Linked DNA regions of Drosophila melanogaster. Changing the gene in region 1 together with any one later gene gives a genetic interaction. Each region holds a gene or a part of one and is shown in the gene's direction. Other genes may lie near its edges.

Region 1 (5,018 bases):
GGACCGTTCCAATGGCCAGTCTGGGTCGCTCTGATTTGCGTTTACCTCGGTGGAATATTTCCGATAGTTTTTACCGACCGTTTGACACTTAGCCATTTAATGGGTAATTGGGGTGAGGTAGAAAACATGTTCTGGTATGTATTTGGCATGTTCACAAACGCTTTCTCCTTCACCGGAAAATACTCGTGGAGCAACACGCGGAAAAATTCCACACGCCTTCTAATTGGAGCATATTGGCTCTTTACAATTATCATTACATCTTGCTACACAGGTTCCATCATAGCATTCGTAACGTTGCCAGCTTTTCCGGACACCGTTGACTCTGTGTTGGATCTGCTGGGATTGTTCTTTCGCGTTGGAACCCTGAGTAAGAAAAGGTTAGGCTCGCTACATTTGTATATAATATTTGGGCTTCTTACTTAAAGACAATGGTGGCTGGGAGACCTGGTTCCAGAACTCGACCCATATACCGACGTCTAGATTGTACAAGAAAATGGAGTTTGTCGGGTCCGTAGATGAGGGCATTGGCAACGTTACCCAGAGCTTCTTTTGGAACTATGCCTTTCTTGGCTCAAAGGCTCAGCTCGAATACCTGGTGCAGTCAAATTTTTCAGATGAGTAAGATCGATCCTTTATTTTTAATCTTCCCACCGTAAACGATATCCTCTTTTAGAAATATTTCCCGCCGATCGGCGCTTCATTTGAGTGAAGAGTGTTTTGCTCTTTTCCAAATAGGATTTCTGTTTCCCCGAGAGTCAGTGTATAAAATCAAAATCGACTCGATGATATTACTTGCCCAGCAAAGTGGTCTTATTGCAAAAATCAATAACGAGGTAAGCTGGGTCATGCAGCGATCATCTTCAGGACGCCTGCTCCAGGCAAGTTCTTCGAATTCCTTACGCGAAATAATTCAGGAAGAGCGCCAATTGACTACAGCGGACACAGAAGGAATGTTCCTGCTCATGGCACTGGGCTACTTTCTAGGAGCCACAGCCCTGGTATCCGAGATCGTCGGTGGGATTACCAACAAGTGCCGCCAAATAATCAAGCGCTCCCGCAAGTCGGCCGCCTCCTCTTGGTCGTCGGCGTCAAGTGGGTCAATGCTTCGCACTAATGCCGAGCAACTTTCCCATGATAAGCGAAAGGCCAATAGACGCGAGGCTGCTGAGGTTGCTCAAAAAATGAGTTTTGGAATGCGCGAGTTAAATCTTACCCGCGCAACGCTTCGGGAAATATACGGAAGCTACGGGGCACCTGAAACAGATCATGGTCAGCTAGACATCGTCCACACTGAGTTTCCAAACAGTTCTGCAAAATTAAATAATATTGAAGACGAAGAATCTCGGGAAGCTCTTGAATCTCTGCAGCGTTTAGACGAATTTATGGACCAGATGGATAACGACGGCAATCCTTCCTCACATACATTCCGTATTGACAATTAATCACAGAAATTTTTAAATGCAAATACAAAATAATCACTTTAGTGCACATGAAATTATATGTATTGAAATAAAAAGTTTGATGCAACAACAAATTTTACAGTTGTTTGGTATTTTGTATGGGAAAGTTTGTGGCAATATATGGTTTTACTTGAAAGCGGATTGGACATGGTCACACTGCCCACAAATCACAACATTGCGTTATAAATGAAGCACATCTAGTTTTGTGTTAAGAAAGTGGTTCACAATTTATATAGCAGGTTATGGTAAAACATCGATCGTTCCGAAAAATTCCGCTCGTTGGCACATTTTCTAAATTTTTCGTGCGACAGCGGTGATTATTATATGATATTATTATGATTATATATACAAAAATTATTATAATTATATAAAAGTTGGCGACCATATCAAAAAGGTTGCTATAAAAACAAATGGCAATTTATAGCGGAGTTTCACTCCCAAAGCGATGTTCTCCACCCATTCCAGTCAGTCATGGTAAATATACCTTCTAAAAAATATATGATTTTTTCGATAGAGATACACGGGCACACTAGACCCACCGATCGCGACTTTGTGTGTGTTAAAATGACGCGCATATCGTTTTGGGCTAATAATATTGTTCACGTTTTATAAAACAGATACACGGTTAAGCTCTGACCGGTCGTATTATTATCTGTGTGTTCTTGGTTGACACGTTTATTTCATTTATTCTCATTTAAAGCAACGATGTGAAGAACAGTGCGGGCGTTTCTCAACATAAGAATACATACAAACTTATGCGTGATGGTGAGCAAATAAAATAGTTCAAAAAATTACTCGGCCACCGCCTTAACCGTACAAACGGAAATACATAAAGGTAAAGGGCTCAACAACAGTATTACTGATTAGGCAATTGATTTATATTTCAAACTTCTTAAATAAAGTGTCCACAAATATGTATGTTCTTAGCATAGAGGCGTAGTCGGTGAGTCAGCCACGCCAACAGTTAACAGTCGTCATTTTGCTGTCTGTCTAACACGCAATTTGTGTGTGTATATGTGAATAAACAGATACCGGTATGCAATCGCAAAGCTGGTCAACTGTAAAGATCGGTATGTACTCAAAATTAGGTCATCACCTTGTTATGCAGATACATTTGGGAAACAGTTGACTTACTTGGTATTGGTTATCAGCCGAAAAGCAAATGGTGATACGGTTTTGCACCTCAGCTTACTCACGGATACATACCTACGTACATAAATGTATGTATACGGTATACAGTCTTAGAAAAAATATTAGTACCGACCAGCTAGCGTTTGCCTAAAACGCTTTTACAAAAATAAACGTATATGTTTTAAGTTGTTTTTTGTCCTAATTAATACATTTATTATTATTTATTTATGAATTTTAGAGCTTTAATAGTAACTAAATTGTTTAAACAAACTTTAAAAAAGATTTACAAATAAAAAAATATTTCGTGTGCGTGACGGAATTGCTAGTTCATTAAAGGGAGGTACATATGTACATACATACACATTGCAAAGAGTACAGATCGCTCATCATTTCATTTTTCCTAATGTACATATACATATGTACAAACATGTTTATTAAACTGCCTACATGCAAATCTTTGAAGTTTTAAGAAAATAAGCACAACTAGTTTGGAAAATCTTGGGAGCCAAGATCTATCTGTCCACTGATTTTCCTATGACTTCAAGAATGTAAAACCCTTTTTGTTAAACAAATTTTGATTAAAGTATACCAGAATAATATTAAACGTATCGTCCGTATCTATAAAAGGTATTAATAGTATTACCTAAATTTAAATTCTCGGTTTTATTCATAAGAGTGAAAAAATATACAAGTTCCTTTTTAATTTTTTACTTATTGAAAATTTGATTAATTTTTATTATTATTTTCAGTTTAGAATAAATTCGGCCACAATTAATATACTTATTTATTCATCAAAACCAAACCACCACAAGAGCATAACCAATCATGTTAAAGTTTATCAGAGGAAAAGGGCAGCAGCCCAGTGCTGACAGACAACGCTACATCGTAAGGTAAAACAAACAATTTTCTCTTTCCGTTCTATTTTTTTTTTTTTAAGTATTTGTAGCCGATTGGTATATTTTGTGGGGTCATTTATTTTGATCTTGGGTGGTAAATACATTTTTATGGAAGTTAGAAGAAAGCTTATAATTTATGAGGAATAAATAAATACCTCCTTTTGAATCTTTTGTTATGTCTTCTCCTATGTGCATACTTTTGGGCATTAACATTTAGGTAAATTTTTTCCACCGCAACTACAAGTAAACCGCATACACACACAGTATTTTGTAGACTCGCGCCACAAAGCACCGCATAAAAAAGGTTACGGTGCTTTTTTGCTCGTTTCTTTTGTGCACTCCTTCTATGCGGTGCCAAATATGAGGAGGTACCTGAAGCTTGGTTGATTTTGTGAGTGTCTTTTTCCACAGCATATTTTTGTGTATTGGCTACTTTAAAAATTCTATTATATCGTTGTGCTCGTAATGTTGTCCATTCCTTTTAAATATTTTCGAATTAAATATACCATAGATGTTTCCCTATTACCATAATAGTTTAATAAATATACGTATATGAAATTTTTTTTATCCTATGTTAGTATAAACATGTTATTCAACAAATAAAAGTAGGTCAGAGGTAATCGCCATCCAGCTCCAGAAAGAGGGGGGAGCTGATAAGATTGCGTTTATGTACCTAATGGGTTGGGTAAGTGGCTTGGTTTCACAAACACCCTTATTTCAGGTACAAAATAAGTATGTCATAGACGGCGTAAAATTGATAAGATTTTAAAGTCAAAAGAAAATGAGTTTATTCGCCTGTAACTGCGTTAGAAATCCAAATACACCCGCAATATTATATGTATAGAAAGAAAAAGTTTGATGCAACAACAAATTTAAAGTTGTTTGGTATTTTGTAATGGAAAGTTTGTGTCACTAAATATGGTTTTACTTGAACGCAGATTGGACATGGTCACACTGCCCACAAAATCACGACATTGCGTTATAAATGAAGCACATCTAGTTTTGTGTTGAAAATGTGGTTCACAATTTATATAGCAGGTTATGGTAAAACATCGATCGTTCCGAAAAATTCCGCTCGTTGGCACATTTCCTAAATTTTTCGTGCGACAGCGGTGATTAATTACAAAAATTATTATTATAATTATATAAAAGTTGGCGACCATATCAAAAAGGTTGCTATAAAAACAAATGACAATTTATAGCGGAGTTTCACTCCCAAAGCGATGTTCTCCACCCATTCCAGTCAGTCATGGAAAATATACCTTCTAAAAAATATATGATTTTTTCGATAGAGATACACGGGCACACTAGACCCACCGATCGCGACTTTGTGTGTGTTAAAATGACGCGCATATCGTTTTGGGCTAATAATATTGTTCACGTTTTATAAAACAGATACACGGTTAAGCTCTGACCGGTCGTATTATTATCTGTGTGTTCTTGGTTGACACGTTTATTTCATTTATTCTCATTTAAAGCAACGATGTGAAGAACAGTGCGGGCGTTTCTCAACATAAGAATACATACAAAC
Region 2 (7,789 bases), about 19 Mb from region 1:
TTGCTAATTAATTTCAGCAAGGGGTATGTTCATAAATTATTTGCGTCTGAACTTCAAATTAATGTGTATGGTGTATCTCGTTATTGGACTATAGGTTAAATTTTTAAAAGCAGCAATTAGGTATTTGAATTGATCATTAGATCGTTTGACTTTAGGGATTTCTTATAAACATTTATTTTTATTTCTTTAAGGGTTATTTATACTATAAAAGGCAATGATCAGCAGGGTCTGGTTCTGGGAATCTCTTGGAATAGCCCTTCTCTTATCTACACCTTTTATTTTATAGGTACTCAAAACAATCTAAACATATTTGAACCTGGTTAATGGGAGATACCTTTGGGAAACCGTCCTCCATGTGGTAAACTCCACTAATGAATCTCTGCGTCTTGCAGGAACTACACAGAGGGCTGGGTAACCGAAGCGGATGAGGGCCGCGACTCTACACTGGAATACCGGCTGAGCATTGTGGATGCGGCCAGCGACGACTCCGGGTTCTATTCGTGCATGACCCCAGCTCGGCATGAGCACACCGTGGAGGTGGTGGTGCGGGCCATCAACTGCCCGGAGATACCGATGCGACGCGGCCTGATCGTGAACACCAACGATACTAAGCTGAGCACGCGGGCGCTGCTGTCCTGCGCTAACGGGAACTCCTTGATTGGCGCCTCGGAGCTGTTCTGCCTACCGAGTGGCAATTGGAGCGCACCGTTGCCGGTCTGCGAGAGCGTCGAGTGCGGCGACATCCCGCTGGGAATGGGCAGCAACGCGAGCTCGCCCCGTGTGTCCGTGCTGTCGCGCGAGGTGGGCGGCCGGGCGGCCTTCTCGTGCGCCTCCGGTTACGGGCTGCGTGGTCCGGCGGAGGCGATCTGCAATCCGACGGGCGAGTGGTCAGCGCCGCTGCCCACCTGCGTCGAGGTGCAGTGCGACAATCCGGGGGCGCCGCAAAATGGTTACGCCCAGGGCTCAGCACCTTATCGTGCCGGCGACGTGGTCCAGTTCAATTGCAATCCCGAGTACATGATGCAGGGCCAGCCGATCATTGCCTGCCAGGATAATGCCAGGTGGTCTGGCGGGCTGCCCAAGTGCGTGCAGGCCTGCTCGTATCCGGGCACCGTCATCAGCGGCAGGATGTCCTCCGTCAAGTTCTACTACGCCATCGGCGAGAGCATCACGTTCACTTGCGATGCCGGACTGGATCTGCGCGGCTCCAAGGTGCTCAAGTGCCTTAAGAACGGCAAGTGGTCCAGTGCCATTCCCACGTGCGTGACAAACGAGGGTCCTGTCGGCGGAGGAGGAGGAGGAGGAGGAGGCGGCGGCGGAGGATCCGGATCCGTGGCCACCAACAAGCACCTGGCCACCACCATGGGCTAGAGCGATTCGGATTGCCGGTTGCTTCAGAGTGATACTAATACATATTACTACCTACTAACTAATGCACATTCCAGGCGCACAGTCACGCGTTTACCAACTAGTAACGCCATTCTTGCGATTCAATTGTAACTGTAGCGTAACTGTAGCCCTGTACTGTATCGCACGGCCATCATTTTACTTTCAATAAATGTTCGTCGAATAAAGACAAAAGTTCTTCTGTTTTAATTATATTTTGATTTCCGTTACATAGTTAGGATTAAATTTGAATTCAAATGTAGTGTTGTTAATCGGAATCGGAATGGTTGGGCGCTTCTTTTCAGCACTGGTTATGTTAGCGACAGCGCTGTTAAATGTAAAGTGTGCCGCCGTCATGGTCACACTGCCCGACTGCTGGCGATAGTATCGGGTAAGCATCGATATAAGTTCCAACCCCAGCTCGAATCGCATTTAAATTTTAAAACGCTGGCAGAAATCTCACTAGCTTAAGATTCCGTTTAGTTTTCGGTTAAGTGCAACGGCCAGTATTCCCTTTCCCGCACGCGAAGCACCCGTTCGAATTTATCGTTTAAAACTCACGCATTCCCCTCGCCCACGCACTGCTGTTGATGCTGCTGAGCTGCCGTTGTTGTTGCTGTTGTTGCTTCCACTGCTGTTGTGTGGCTGCTGTTATTGTGGTTGTTGTTGGTGCAAGGACAAGTGACGTCCTTCGAAAAAGGCGCAACAATTTACGTCGCGCAACAAGGTGTTTTCGGGGGTGGCGGGAAAATCAATAAATAGCAAAAAGCAAGTGCATACACAAGTGTATATGTACGTATGTACACACATATATGCATGTATGGTGCCCGTCGCGGTTGAGTGTGTGTGCGTTGTATACTGAAACTTTCTTTTTCTAGGCAGCCAGCTGTAAAATAGAACACAGTCGCTAAACAAAGGAAATTGGCCCAAAACGCAGAGAATTCAGTAGACCCTATTATGGACAACGCGGGCGAGGACAGCGACAATGATGTGGTCACCGATTTTCTGAACTCCAACTGCAGCGAGTCCTCGGAAGCGCTGGTTAATGGTGGCTCTACCAACCGAGGCGCCTCCATCGAAAGCCAGAACTATTGCATACCCGTAATAAACGCACCCGTTCCTGGTCCAGCGCGCGCCCCCATTGCTCCGCCACCAGCATCTAATCCTGCCAGCAACACCATCAATAACAACAACATGATACCCACCATAAATGTGACGCCACACAGTCCCGCCCTGGCCTCCAAGTACAACAACATATTCGAGGACACGCTGAGCCAGCTGCAGAACATCCGCGAAACGGTCGTCCAGATGAAGAACTCCTCCTCGCCTAGCCAGCACATGCAGGACGGCAGCTTGGCCAATCATGGACTGCTCAGCGCAGCTATACTGAGTACTTCGCTGCCCGATCTTACGGGGACGGGCACGGGTCCCGCGTCCGGTGGCTCCAACTACGCCATGTGGTCTTCCACGGCACCGCAGCAGTGCCAGTTTCTTCACACAGACCGCCGGAAATCCTGGACAGCCGTGGACGATGGCAGCGGCGCTGGCGACTGCACCAACAAGAGCGTCAGCCTATCCAGCCTGGACAGCGAGGAGCAGGAAACCATTCGCGTCACCGAGCAGCGACGAAGGTCGGCCAGGAACAGCACTGGAGGTAGATATGCACTAAGGTTTCGGGGGTGGGTTGGCAAAGCCATAAGTGTGCAATGCAATAGTAGTTCAGATATTTGTATACCTGCAACATGGCTGGCCCTGTTGATTAGGTAAATTTGCCAATATTATTTAATTATTTAGACAAAAGTGTTTAGGTGTTGAAAGTTTAAAATAATACTAAACAAAAATGCATTCAAAATTAAGTCGGAAATGGATTTTACAGAGGAATCTCTAAATTGTCGGCTATTCCAAAGGTTTTTGAAAATGTTATCACTACTCATTTGCAGCGCCTTTGTAGGTCAATTATATCACCATGTCAGCAGAAACGCAGATAAACAACCAATAACCTTTTGGAGCTAACTTCCTTCGTAATACAGGGCTTCAGAAATAATATTCAAACAGGTGTCATCTACACTGACTTTAGTAAAGCATTTGTCTTTATAAATAATTCTCTTCTAGTAAGCAAACTTGATTTATTAGGTTTATCTGTTGATCTTCTAAAAAGGATTTTAAGTTATCTGAACTTAAAGGACGCATCCGGGTACTCTTTGAAAATTTTCTATCTCGTATTCTCCTAGTGAGCAATGAAACATTCGCTTGTACTTATGTACGCATCGTATGGTAAATTATGCCTCCAGTATAATGAAAATTCTTCCCATTTAGCTTTACAATCCGATTTCAATAGCTTTCAAATATGGTGCCGTGGTAACGTACTAAACTTAAATGGCTCCAAGTGAAAAGTTATGACCTTTCGACAGAATAACTTCTCTGTTCCAAGCAGATTCACTAGAAACTACAAGCCCTAATCTTAAATTATTGTAGAATGTAGAATATTGTAGAGGTGTGACCGTGGGACTCGCGGAAAAAAAATGGGAAAATATGTATGATAAGATATCGTTAATAAAGTCAATAAATTTTGCCAATTGATTGCTCAAAATAATATGCCACTCAACCAAAGAGTAGGGGCTACTACCAAGTTAGCTTCGTTTCGATGTGGAATTCCACAAAACCCCCTTATCTGTAAGCCCATATAGTGTTTTGGTATTGGTAGCTCCGACCAAAGCTATCAGAAACCCCTTGCGATTAGTTATTGCTAACGGACCGACTCTCTAACTTTGACTACTCGCAGGTATTTCGACCCATTCGCTAAACGAGGCGGAGCTGGCCCGTGACTTCGAGAGGATTGCTGCCAAGCGAAGCCTGGCAACGGAGATCATCAGCAGAATACCGCTGCAGAAAAGCATATCGACGAGCTCAATTATAGCCAAGGAGGATATCAAGGCGATCGCGCGCCACCTCACGGACAGCGAGGATGAGAATCAAAGCCTCTTGCGGGCGCACGCAAAAATCGAGGTCTACGACACCGTAGAGAAGCGACCCAAGCGCGGTTCTATATTCTTCCGCAAAAAGAAGCCCAAGGCGAAAACGAAGTCGTTGGTGGGAGGCCAGCTTAGTGCGTGCGACGTCTGCGGTGCTGCAATCACACTGGCGCAGATCAAGGAACATCACCTTGAGTGCAAGGTGAAGAAAATGGGCGGCGGCCAGGATTACTACGACGGGCCGGATGCGAGCACTTTTAGCAACCCAGAGGATCAGCCTCTGATACGTTCCGATTTGCAGTTTCTCAACGAAGCGCCGATCGAAGCACAAGACTTGGGAGCCGATCCCGTTCTAGGCATCGTTCTCAAGGAGCACGACTCCTGGACACCCAATGTGCCTAGGGAGTTACTCAAGACGCTGAAGGATCTGCAGATCAAGCGGCAGGAACATATCTATGAGTTCATTATGACCGAGAAACACCACTGCCAGACACTGATCGTCATGCAGAAGGTGTTCGTTGAGAGTCTGGAGCGGCACTTTCCATCACTCAACCTAAACAGCATGTTTCCGCGCCTGCAACAGCTCACCGATCTGCACACCTGCTTCCTGCGCCAGTTGCGACTGAAGCAACGCGAACAGCATATGGTGGACAGCATCGCGGACATATTGCTCGATTTCTTCTCGCTGGAGCAGGCGCAATGCCTGCGTCTGGCCTACGGAGAGTTCTGCGCCAATCATCGCAGCGCCCTGGACCAGTTTAAGCTCTGTCTAACCGAGCCAAGCTTCGCCGAATGGTACAAGCACTGTCTACAGAATCCGTTGCTTAAGAAGAAGGGCATCCCCGAATGCATCTTGTTCGTGACTCAGCGCCTTACCAAATACCCGTTGCTCATCGAGCCGCTGCTGAAGAGCGCCAGGGATAACAAGCTGGAGACAGACAAGCTTCAGCATGCCCTCAACCTGGTCAAATCTCTTCTGGTCGATGTGGATGCGTGTGTGGCGGAGAAAGAGCTGCGCGAACGACAGCTGGAAATCTATGGTCGCGTGGATGCCAAATCCTTTGCTATCTACAAAAATAAGCCTTTCCGAAAAACTGAGCTTGGTGTGGAGTCGCGACGTCGTCTGAAATTTGATGGATTGGCCACCCTCATGCAGGGCAGGGCTAAGACGCAGCTTGTCCTTGTTGTGGTGCTCACCGACTGCCTGTGCTTTCTGAGCGAGAACTCCGGTCACAACAAGTACTCATTCTTCACGCCGGAGCACAAGGCTGGAGTGGTTCCTCTCCAGAAATTGCTTATCCGCGAAAAGGCAGGCACCGAATCCCGGGGAATATATATTATCAGTTCCAATCCGGATTTCCCAGAAATGTACGAGCTGAAAGTGCAGACGCCAAAGGACAAGAACACTTGGATTCAGACCATCCGTCAGGCTGTGCTTGACTGTCCCGCAACGGACATAATCGAGGCGGAGGATCTCACGGCGGAGGAGAAGCTGCGAATCGGAGTGAACAAAAGGGAGACCATCGAGAAGATGCGACAAAAGGACATTGAACAGGCGCTACTGCTGGAGGAGAAACTGATGCTTCAATTCAATTTGCTCAAGGAGCAGCAGCCCTTTGGAGATGTGGCCGGCACCAATTCCAGTTGCAGTGCAGCCAACTTCCTGGCGGCCTTCGGCTCATACAAGGATCTCGTTAGTGCCGACTGTGACACGGCGGAGCTGTGGCGCAGAGTGCTCAACACGGTGCAGGACATCAGCCAGTTGGCTTCCACGATCTACTCGGCGGCCACAGGTCAGCCGGTGCCCAGGACTCTGAGTAGTGTCGGCGAAAAGCAGAGTGAGCAGTACGCTTCGCCCACTCTGCCCAAGCGGGCGGAAACATTTGCTGGCTTCGACGAAAAGCGCGGCAAGCTGGCCTCCAAGCTAGTGCTAACACCCCGCCTTCAGGAATTGGAAGAGAAGCGAGAACCAAAGAGTGGGTCCAGCTCGGTGTCGGAGCAGCCTTTAGAGAACAACTATGCGGTGCTACAGGTGACGCACCATCTGCAGACTCTGCTGTGCGTCATCTCCCAGCAGATGACCACCATCAATAACCTGCAGCTCCAGCTGGCCCTTTACAGGGAGAGTCCTCGCTCGAGTGCCTACACGCACAAGGATCAATTGGAGGAGCTGCGTAACCTGCAGGACAAGCAGCAGGAGGAGAAGACCGCATGGCAGCGTCAGCTGAAGCAGCAACAGGAGGAACTCGCCGAGATGCGGGCACAACAGCTGCAGTTGCAGAAACAGATCAAAGCCGAGCAGGAGGATGTGCGCCAGCAGCGTGAACAGCTGTACAAGAAGATGGAGCTCCTCTCCAGTCAGGGTCTGTTGCTGTCGCCCAGCACTCCCCTGCCACCGGTCAGCAACAATCATCCTCCACCTGCTGCGCTGTTGGATGACAGCCACGAGACAGACAATGGATTAAGTGGAAGTGGGACGGGCAGCAGCACGCCCAGTGTGGGTGGAACCTTTGATCGACGTAAGGAGAAATGGCTGAGTGGCTCATCCAGCTGCAAAACTCCGCCTGTGAATTTGATCAGCGCCAATAATGCGCCCAAAGTCAACCCCACTCTGGTCAAGCAAAAGCTGCCCATGAAGCTCTCCTCGCTCTCGTCCAGCGGCACTTCTAGCTCCCGCGTAGACAAGTCCGCCAGCTTTAATAGCGCATCACCGACACCCTACATCTCCGCCGGCAGTGTGCAGCAGATGTTCCCTCTAAAGTTGGCTGACCGGAGGACAGCCACGCCCTCGAACTGTACAACGACGCCCACGACGGGAATGGTGCCGCAGCACTCGCGAACAGGAAGCTCGCCGGCGATCATCCAGCAGGCAACGACCACCGCAACTCCCACCCAGACCCCCGTAGCTCGAGCAGAATCGGTGGCCCACTACACTCGCACTCCAACGAGCAGCCGGACAGGAATTGCAAGAACGGCAGGAATCGCTGTGGCCACTGGCACAGCTCCTCGAGCCAAGCCCGAGGAAGAGGAGATCTACTTCTGACGCCAGTTCACGCCTGAAGTCGAAATCTAAATGTGGAATCATTTGAAACCACTATCATTCCAATCGATATAAAAACCTTCTTGAAGTCATAACCGGAAGCCTGATCTTGGGCAATGAGGGGAACTGGAAATGTACTTCCATACCTGTTGAACTGTACCTATACCATTCGAAAATCTACAATCCCAATATCGTACTGCCCATTTTAGGCTCAATATCGCAAATGTTATCTTTAATTTAAGCAAACGTACTGTACTTAATGGTATTTCCTACGGACTCGCTATCAATCCAATGAATCTCAAACTGTTTAGTAATTTAGTTAACCAATTATTTATTACCATTATTTATATATTTTTTAAACCAATTTTACTTCGGACAAAAGATTAATTAC
Region 3 (4,266 bases), on another chromosome or scaffold:
TCCCTTTTAATGTATATAGCCATCTTTGTTTGACACTCGAAATGGTTTTGCTTGGGACTTGTGGCATCATATGCACCAAATACTTATATAGTTGATAAGAACGATACACCTAAGAGGTTTTTATAGCACACAAAGTTTCCATATTTGGTTATTTATACTGTATTTAATGTATTAATAAATAAAACACGTCCTCGAGAGGATATTAACCAAAGATTGGAGTTTTGATAAATACATATATATACCCTTACGAACCATTATCTAGTGTTATCGTATGACCAAAAATTAATCTAGTAGCTGCCTGTTACACTAAGTCAGACAGATCTAAAACCCTTATTTAAACTAAATGTATTCTCCCAAACTTCTAGAACTACGTAGCGCATTTCGGCGAGCTTTTGTAGTCGGAATGTCATCCAAACCTCAGTACACCCTAAGCGAAGTGGATGGGGATCTGTTTTCCGCCCCCAAGACCTATTCCTTGGCGCACTGTGTGGGCGCAGATCTTGCGATGGGTGCTGGAATTGCCGTGCAGTTCAAGAAGGTATTCGGAAGGTTGGACGAGCTGCAAGCCCAACAAGCGGGCAGTGGAGATATTGCGGTGCTGAAGGATGACCAGCGGTACATTTACTACCTAGTAACCAAGCCTCAGAGCTGGGGAAAGCCCACCTACGAATCTGTACAAGCATCTTTGGAGCAGATGCGTGAGCATATGGTAAATACATGCCTGATACATATCTTTTATGAATGGAATGTATCCCTGCTTTTATTTATTATATATATAAAGCTTAGACAAGTTATATTAATAAGAGCTACATTTTATTATTCCTACATTAGCGCAAAAACAACGTGAATAAGCTGGCCATCCCAAAAATTGGCTGCGGAATTGATGGCTTGGAATGGGAAAAAGTCAGCGGAGTCCTCGAGTACGTTTTTGGCCAAGAGCCGCTGGAGATTGTTGTCTACAATTTTGTGCCTCCACAGGGAAAATAATGGATCGTTTAGTTTAATATGAGCCATTTACTTCATAGCAACATAATTATAAACGACCAGCTCAACAGAATCCGCTTGAAAAACCTGGCAAATTATTTCCTTAACTTTGGGCCAGTTTAGGCCATCCAAACCGCATCCAATGCGGGGCATGGCTAGCTTGGGTACTTGGTGGGAGATCTGCAAATGGTAGAAAGATTCGTATATCATAACTTCTTATAGAAGATACATAAACATACCATGTGTTTTCGCATGGCGATCAAGGAACTCTGGAGAAGTTCGTAGGTGGGCTTTCCCCAGCTGGATTTCTTGGTGATCAGATAGTAAATAAATCGCTGCTGGTCCTGAAGGACAGCCACGCCGCCTGGCTGAACATTTTGTCTCTGCAAATTCAACAACTGTCCAAATTTGTTTCTGGAAAATAGGCAAATTTACCATTTTATTAAAAACACTAAGCCATTACCTACCGAAACTTTACAGCTATGCCTCTGCCCATTCGCAAATCGGCAGCCACGCAGTGGCACATGGAATAATCCCTTTGGCATTTGAATAGGTCGCCATTGATCTCTCTGTAAGTTAGTCCTGACATTTCCATAAAACTTTTACATTTATACTCCTCCGACTTCTTCACAAAAATTGTTTTCAATTGTGCGCTTTCTGCGTGTCCACGTTTTCCTCCGAATGGCTGCCAGCTGGTGTTTGGCAACGCGTAAGTAAACAACGATTGGCAACACTGAAGCATATACACTGCACTAAAATTAAACCCGATCAGCTGATAACAAATGAGTTTTATTTTTAAATTTATTGCCACTTTTGTACGCAAAATGCTGGAGCTGTTGCAATTTGGAGGGAAAACCCTTACGCACACGCTGAGTATTTATGTAAAAACGAACACGGGCAAAACGCTGACCGTTAATCTGGAGCCCCAGTGGGATATTAAAAACGTAAAGGAACTGGTGGCACCACAATTGGGACTTCAGCCGGATGATCTAAAGATCATATTTGCCGGTAAGGAACTAAGCGATGCCACGACAATAGAGGTAAGAAGTTTCTTTAATGTATCCGCTACATGAAGTTAACTTTTACTGTCTTCTAGTAGCAATGTGACTTGGGTCAGCAAAGCGTTTTGCATGCCATTCGTTTGCGACCGCCCGTGCAGCGCCAGAAAATCCAGTCGGCCACTTTGGAGGAGGAGGAACCTTCGCTTAGCGATGAAGCCTCCAAGCCTCTAAATGAAACTCTGTTGGACTTGCAGCTGGAAAGCGAGGAGCGTCTGAATATAACCGATGAAGGTAGGCAACAATTAGTTTTTATTGTTTTTTTTTTTTTTAACGAAACCCCTTGTAATCCCGTCGTATCCTCTCCAGAAAGAGTCCGTGCCAAAGCGCATTTCTTTGTACATTGCAGCCAATGCGATAAGCTGTGTAATGGCAAACTTCGGGTCCGCTGCGCTTTATGCAAGGGCGGCGCCTTTACTGTCCATCGTGATCCGGAGTGTTGGGATGATGTCTTGAAGTCGCGTAGAATTCCCGGTCATTGTGAAAGTCTGGAGGTGGCCTGCGTGGACAACGCGGCTGGCGATCCGCCCTTCGCTGAATTCTTCTTCAAGTGTGCTGAGCATGTCTCCGGCGGGGAGAAGGATTTTGCGGCTCCATTGAATCTAATCAAGAATAACATCAAGAATGTTCCTTGCCTGGCCTGCACGGATGTGAGGTGATTATGCAATAAGGAACATCTTAATTTCTTATAATTTTCATATCATCGAAAATGTCATAAAAAGTTCTTTTAAAGTCTTTAAAGTAATTATTTGTCATATAATTTTATTCTGCTATAATCACCTTATTATGTTCGCAGTGATACCGTGTTGGTTTTCCCCTGCGCATCGCAGCACGTCACCTGTATCGACTGCTTCCGCCATTATTGCCGTTCCCGTTTGGGCGAGCGTCAGTTTATGCCGCATCCGGACTTCGGCTACACCTTGCCCTGTCCCGCAGGCTGCGAGCACTCGTTCATCGAGGAGATTCATCACTTCAAGCTGTTGACACGCGAGGAGTACGATCGGTACCAGAGATTCGCCACCGAGGAGTATGTCCTACAGGCAGGTGGAGTACTCTGCCCCCAGCCAGGATGCGGCATGGGCCTTTTGGTGGAGCCCGATTGTCGCAAGGTGACATGCCAGAACGGCTGTGGATACGTGTTCTGCCGCAATTGTCTGCAGGGCTACCATATCGGGGAGTGTCTGCCCGAGGGGACGGGCGCCAGTGCCACAAACTCCTGCGAGTACACCGTGGACCCAAATGTGAGTTGGCTCTTATACGGCCCATTCCCGCTTGTGTAATCATGTGCTTTTTTAGCGAGCTGCCGAGGCGCGATGGGATGAGGCCAGCAATGTCACCATCAAAGTCAGCACAAAGCCCTGTCCAAAATGCAGAACCCCCACGGAGCGAGATGGTGAGTTGGGCGAGCATCGAAGACACCCAAGACGCAGTTTGTAACACATCCATACCGTCTTCTTCTCTTCCTACCAGGCGGTTGCATGCACATGGTCTGCACACGCGCTGGCTGCGGATTCGAGTGGTGCTGGGTCTGCCAGACTGAGTGGACACGCGACTGCATGGGAGCCCACTGGTTCGGCTAATCCTTCGTCATCGTTGTACGTCGGCCCGACGGGTCCTTTTTGTTTGTTGACTACTTTTAAATTGTATACCATAGTAAAGACTGCTCGAACAACACCCTGTTTGTCGTCTACGCAATCAATAGCAGAAACACCCCTGACAAGGACCAACGCGAATCACATCCTACCCCACTCTGTTCCTTTGTTGCGTGCGCACAAAAACTTTGTTTACGTTTTTTTTTAAGCTCGCCCACAAATATTTTGAGGGCTTTCCTCTTCGGCCAGGCATGCGAAAACCGCAACAAACACGTGCATTTGGCCAAACAGCCAGAGAGCGAGTGCCGCGAATGCGCAGTGGGTGGTCAGCGGCACAAGGTTCATGTGATTTCAACCCAGGCGCGTAGCCGCAAGGGGACTAATAATTGATTGGGGGATGGTAAAGGCATTTCAAAAATGTTCCTGGATTTTCAAAAGTACTAACTACTATTCTTGCTAAAGAGAGAAAACACAAAAGAGAAAATTATTAAGAAACTGAAACTTAAATTTTGGCCGTTAATACGTAAAATTAAATATTTCACTTTAATACAGTTTTATAATTCATATGTGCAACCGCCCTAGGACACATCTGTAAATCAATAGATTTTAGGCAATTATATATAGGAAACACG
Region 4 (3,300 bases), 8.0 Mb from region 1:
AATTTAATTTTCGAAATTGCAGGTATGAAATGAGCAATTTGGGGGGATAGAAAAAAACTACACCGTGGGCAGCGCGTCTATGAGTGTCTAACACCCACGGCTATAAAATTTGCATTCATAAAAGGCAAATGACTATAGAACAAATGCATAATTGTTTGGATCGGTGCCATACACTATAAAGTAAATCAATTTTCGACGTTGGTAAGCGGAACGCAAAGATAAAATCGAATTTAACGGCCTTAAAATATGTAGTAAAACAATTTGAGACTCAATCAATTTCTCTAATCAAACTTAAACGTTGAATTCGAGGTCTTAGTATTCAAAATACATCTAGATACGTTCTTATGTAAAATTCAAATTTGTTGTTTGAATTATAAAAACTGTTTGTAGGCTATGTACAATAGTACATTGTCGAATTAGTAAGGTGTTAAGATCGATGTTTTTATTTATTTGGCGATTGAAACCAACCTGTTTTGTCGCCTTGTGGAATGCCCGTAAAATAGTTGGCATTGGCATTGCGTATACGCAGCGTTGACTCCTCGTTGTCCTTAGATGTACACCACTTCCAATCGCCGCACTTTTGGCAACACGATAGTTTTTGACCCATGTCTCAAGTCGAACTACACACCCAGTTATTTTTCAAATGCTGGCGTATTCTGACTTTATCTATTGGGCAAACCGGTTCGCCTTGGCGATGATAAGCCTTACTTTGTTGATTCTCCGATGGATTTGTAGGATTGGTATTTGAACTTCGGAATATTGCTGCTACTCTAGAACCCAACAATTTCGCTGTCCGCAATTAACTGGCGTGTCATTTTTTGGTTAAACTGCTCGCGCGGAATGCAAAATCGAGGCAGTTTAAATTGTAACAGCTGCGATCACGTCATCGCCGTCGATGGCGTTGATTCGAAGCGGTCTATTAAGCTCCAACATTCGAATGATACTGAATACCGAATCGATCGGTCGTCTTCTCCCAACTATTCACATTTTACATACCATATGCCATGTGCCTGTGGTGGGTCAACGGTGTCACTTAGTTGATGGCCTCGAGTGTCCAAAAAGCAGAGATGCGTGTGTAAATTGATCAGCTTTACGGAATAAGTTGCAGTTGAATCATTCATGATTGACTTTGATTGCTATCAAATTGATTGACGACTATCTTAGTTAATTAATTAGTTTGAGTTATCATGAGTGTGCTAAAGGGGCGTGGTTGGGTTTAAATCTTTGTCAGTTCTGTCAACACAGACTTTAGATTTAGTGTTTTGCGTAATGGTTATTTCCTGGGAAGATACACTTTGAGAAATAAGCACTTCATATGTTCCTTCATTGTGACCTTGACAAGGTTATACGAAATTTACATGCATTTCTAATAGAGGGTTTGTCCCCAATATATAATCAAATACATAAAAATGATAAGCAAATATTTTTTATTAAAACTTTTAAAAATCGATAACCGCTTAAAGAAATTTCTACAGTTGGCGATCAGTCAATCAGAACGCAGAAATGAGTATAAAACATATCGAAAATTTTTTAAATGAGAAGGTGTCTACAAAAGAGCACAAGATATTTTGTGACGTCAATGGGTATACTAAGAGAACGCAAGAGAAAGAGATTGTCATAAATATACAAAAAGAACTCAGTAAATAATTGTTGTGTCTGTGAAAAGAAAAACATCAGTATCATTTTTCTCTGCCTCAGCAACAATTGTAATTGGAAATGGAACCTATACTGATAGAAAAATCTCAGTGGCCAGAGCTCAGAGATTTGTACGCGAATGATAGAACTAATCTCACGGGATTCGACTTAATCGAGTACTTTTTAAATTACATACCCTTATCCACAACCGAATCCATAAAGATATATACAACTGATACGGATTGGAGAACACATGGCAGTTATATACTAATTGTAAGCACATATATAGTTCACATACACTAGGTATGTGAAATATAACTTTAGATCTGCATTTCAGCATTATTTGGAGAACAAGGCCTATATTTATATGAATACCATTAAGGGAACCCCAGAAGATCTTGGCAAATTGTTGAACTCTCTAAAACTTAAAGTGTTTCATTTAATCTGTGGCTATGAAGAACGATTCAAACCATTAGTTGAGGCATATTGGCTGAATTTGGGTCAAGATTTGATTAATCTTGAACACCAGGGCGCTATTGTTTACCACCTGCCAAGCACCGAAATTCCCAGTTGGAAACCAAGGTAAAGTAAAATAATAATATTCAGTAAAATCTTGTTACAAATTTCTAACCCTTTAGTTTGAGTACCTCTTGCAAAGTGGCTTATATCACATCAAATCATGCCGAATTGGTCGACAAACATTGGGCTTATCGTTCAGCTGATTCTATAACTATGATAAGGGGTTTTATGGAGAACAATCTCGCTGTTGGTGTTTTTGATAACCAAGGAGAACCCCTAGCGTGGTGTCTAAGGTAAGAAAAGAAGATGGGTTTGATAATATTCCTGAAACAATCTGTATTTTCTAGATCTCCTCATGGTAGTTTGAGTAACCTACACGTTTTATCCTCACATCGTCGAATGGGATTGGGTTCTTTGGCAGTGCGCTTTATGGCTAATGAAATCAAGTTAAAGGGCTCAGAAGTTCTGGCCACAGTTGTTCCCGAAAACGAGGGTTCGCAAAAAATGTTCGAGAAACTAGGATTCAACAATATCAACAAACTCTACTGGGCAGTGATACCGTGCACTTTATAAATAAAGAATAAATACAGATTACAAACGTCTACTTTTATTATGAGTTTCGATTTACTTGTTTGCTCTCTTTGTAGTGCACAGCTTTTCTCTTATCTCATTTTGTTTTTTTTTTTTTTTGTTTCAAGTTTAGTCTGCGTTCAGCTTTTGTTGCGAAAGGTTGTCGTCATGTCGACGGAGAATTCGTTGGTTGAAATTCCACGCGGCGAATGGACTAAACTGCGAGATTTGTATGTGGCCAGAGATACGGATCCCCAAGGCTATCCGTGCATAAATAATTTCATTAAGTGGGTGGAGATAGACCCGCAATTGAAGGTCAATTTCCTATCGTTGAATGGCGACTGGCAGAGCGATGGAACCTTTGTTCTAACGGTAAGTTATGCGATGTGAAATGCAAAAGTTCGGTGATTGAATGTTGTCTAATCATCTCAGCTACGTTCGGATACTCATATGAACCACATTTACTTCAACACACTGAGCGAAAATTTGGATCGAGTGACGAAAGCGTTAGAATGCCTCAAGTCCATTGAGAATGAATACGATTTCTTTGGGTTTTCTACGCGATTGAAACCTGTG

Evidence for each region.
Region 2: of l(2)gl (region 1) and cyst, changing one suppresses a phenotype caused by changing the other (phenotypic suppression), as found in Drosophila melanogaster (one study listed by BioGRID).
Region 3: of l(2)gl (region 1) and park, changing one suppresses a phenotype caused by changing the other (phenotypic suppression), as found in Drosophila melanogaster (one study listed by BioGRID).
Region 4: of l(2)gl (region 1) and Glyat, changing one suppresses a phenotype caused by changing the other (phenotypic suppression), as found in Drosophila melanogaster (one study listed by BioGRID).

What each region holds. Positions count from the first base shown.
Region 1 is NT_033779.5:18,343-23,360, reverse strand, and holds the start of l(2)gl (lethal (2) giant larvae), read left to right. Parts: upstream 1-1,984; 5' UTR 1,985-2,295; intron 2,296-2,387; 5' UTR 2,388-2,530; intron 2,531-3,340; exon of another isoform or gene 3,341-3,345; 5' UTR 3,346-3,416; coding exon of another isoform or gene 3,417-3,476; 5' UTR 3,477-3,481; intron 3,482-4,790; exon of another isoform or gene 4,791-5,018. Other genes in the region: Ir21a (ionotropic receptor 21a), read left to right, coding at 1-367, 426-618, 674-1,442. UniProt on the Drosophila melanogaster protein: Essential for the development of polarized epithelia, for cell polarity associated with asymmetric cell division of neuroblasts during development, and for oocyte polarity formation.
Region 2 is NT_033779.5:19,502,741-19,510,529, reverse strand, and holds the start of cyst (cysts), read left to right. Parts: upstream 1-1,765; 5' UTR 1,766-2,343; coding exon 2,344-3,040; intron 3,041-4,168; coding exon 4,169-7,401; coding exon of another isoform or gene 7,402-7,431; 3' UTR 7,432-7,789. Other genes in the region: Hasp (Hig-anchoring scaffold protein), read left to right, coding at 393-1,371.
Region 3 is NT_037436.4:21,194,203-21,198,468, reverse strand, and holds park (parkin), read left to right. Parts: upstream 1-1,615; 5' UTR 1,616-1,693; intron 1,694-1,699; exon of another isoform or gene 1,700-1,756; 5' UTR 1,757-1,766; coding exon 1,767-2,024; intron 2,025-2,083; coding exon 2,084-2,276; intron 2,277-2,332; exon of another isoform or gene 2,333-2,351; coding exon 2,352-2,697; intron 2,698-2,822; exon of another isoform or gene 2,823-2,838; coding exon 2,839-3,283; exon of another isoform or gene 3,284-3,338; coding exon 3,339-3,435; exon of another isoform or gene 3,436-3,512; coding exon 3,513-3,622; 3' UTR 3,623-3,715; downstream 3,716-4,266. Other genes in the region: Targ2 (terminal ADP-ribose protein glycohydrolase 2), read left to right, coding at 1-10; Targ1 (terminal ADP-ribose protein glycohydrolase 1), read left to right, coding at 344-709, 832-920, 979-1,009; Targ3 (terminal ADP-ribose protein glycohydrolase 3), read right to left, coding at 1,015-1,164, 1,224-1,398, 1,452-1,573. UniProt on the Drosophila melanogaster protein: E3 ubiquitin-protein ligase which accepts ubiquitin from E2 ubiquitin-conjugating enzymes in the form of a thioester and then directly transfers the ubiquitin to targeted substrates, such as Paris, Marf, Opa1, Miro, pnut, Septin1, Tom20 and porin.
Region 4 is NT_033779.5:8,009,052-8,012,351, reverse strand, and holds Glyat (glycine N-acyltransferase), read left to right. Parts: upstream 1-1,699; 5' UTR 1,700-1,716; coding exon 1,717-1,908; intron 1,909-1,972; coding exon 1,973-2,217; intron 2,218-2,273; coding exon 2,274-2,447; intron 2,448-2,501; coding exon 2,502-2,727; 3' UTR 2,728-2,749; downstream 2,750-3,300. Other genes in the region: Tg (transglutaminase), read right to left, coding at 469-607; CG12560 (uncharacterized protein), read left to right, coding at 2,893-3,096, 3,157-3,300.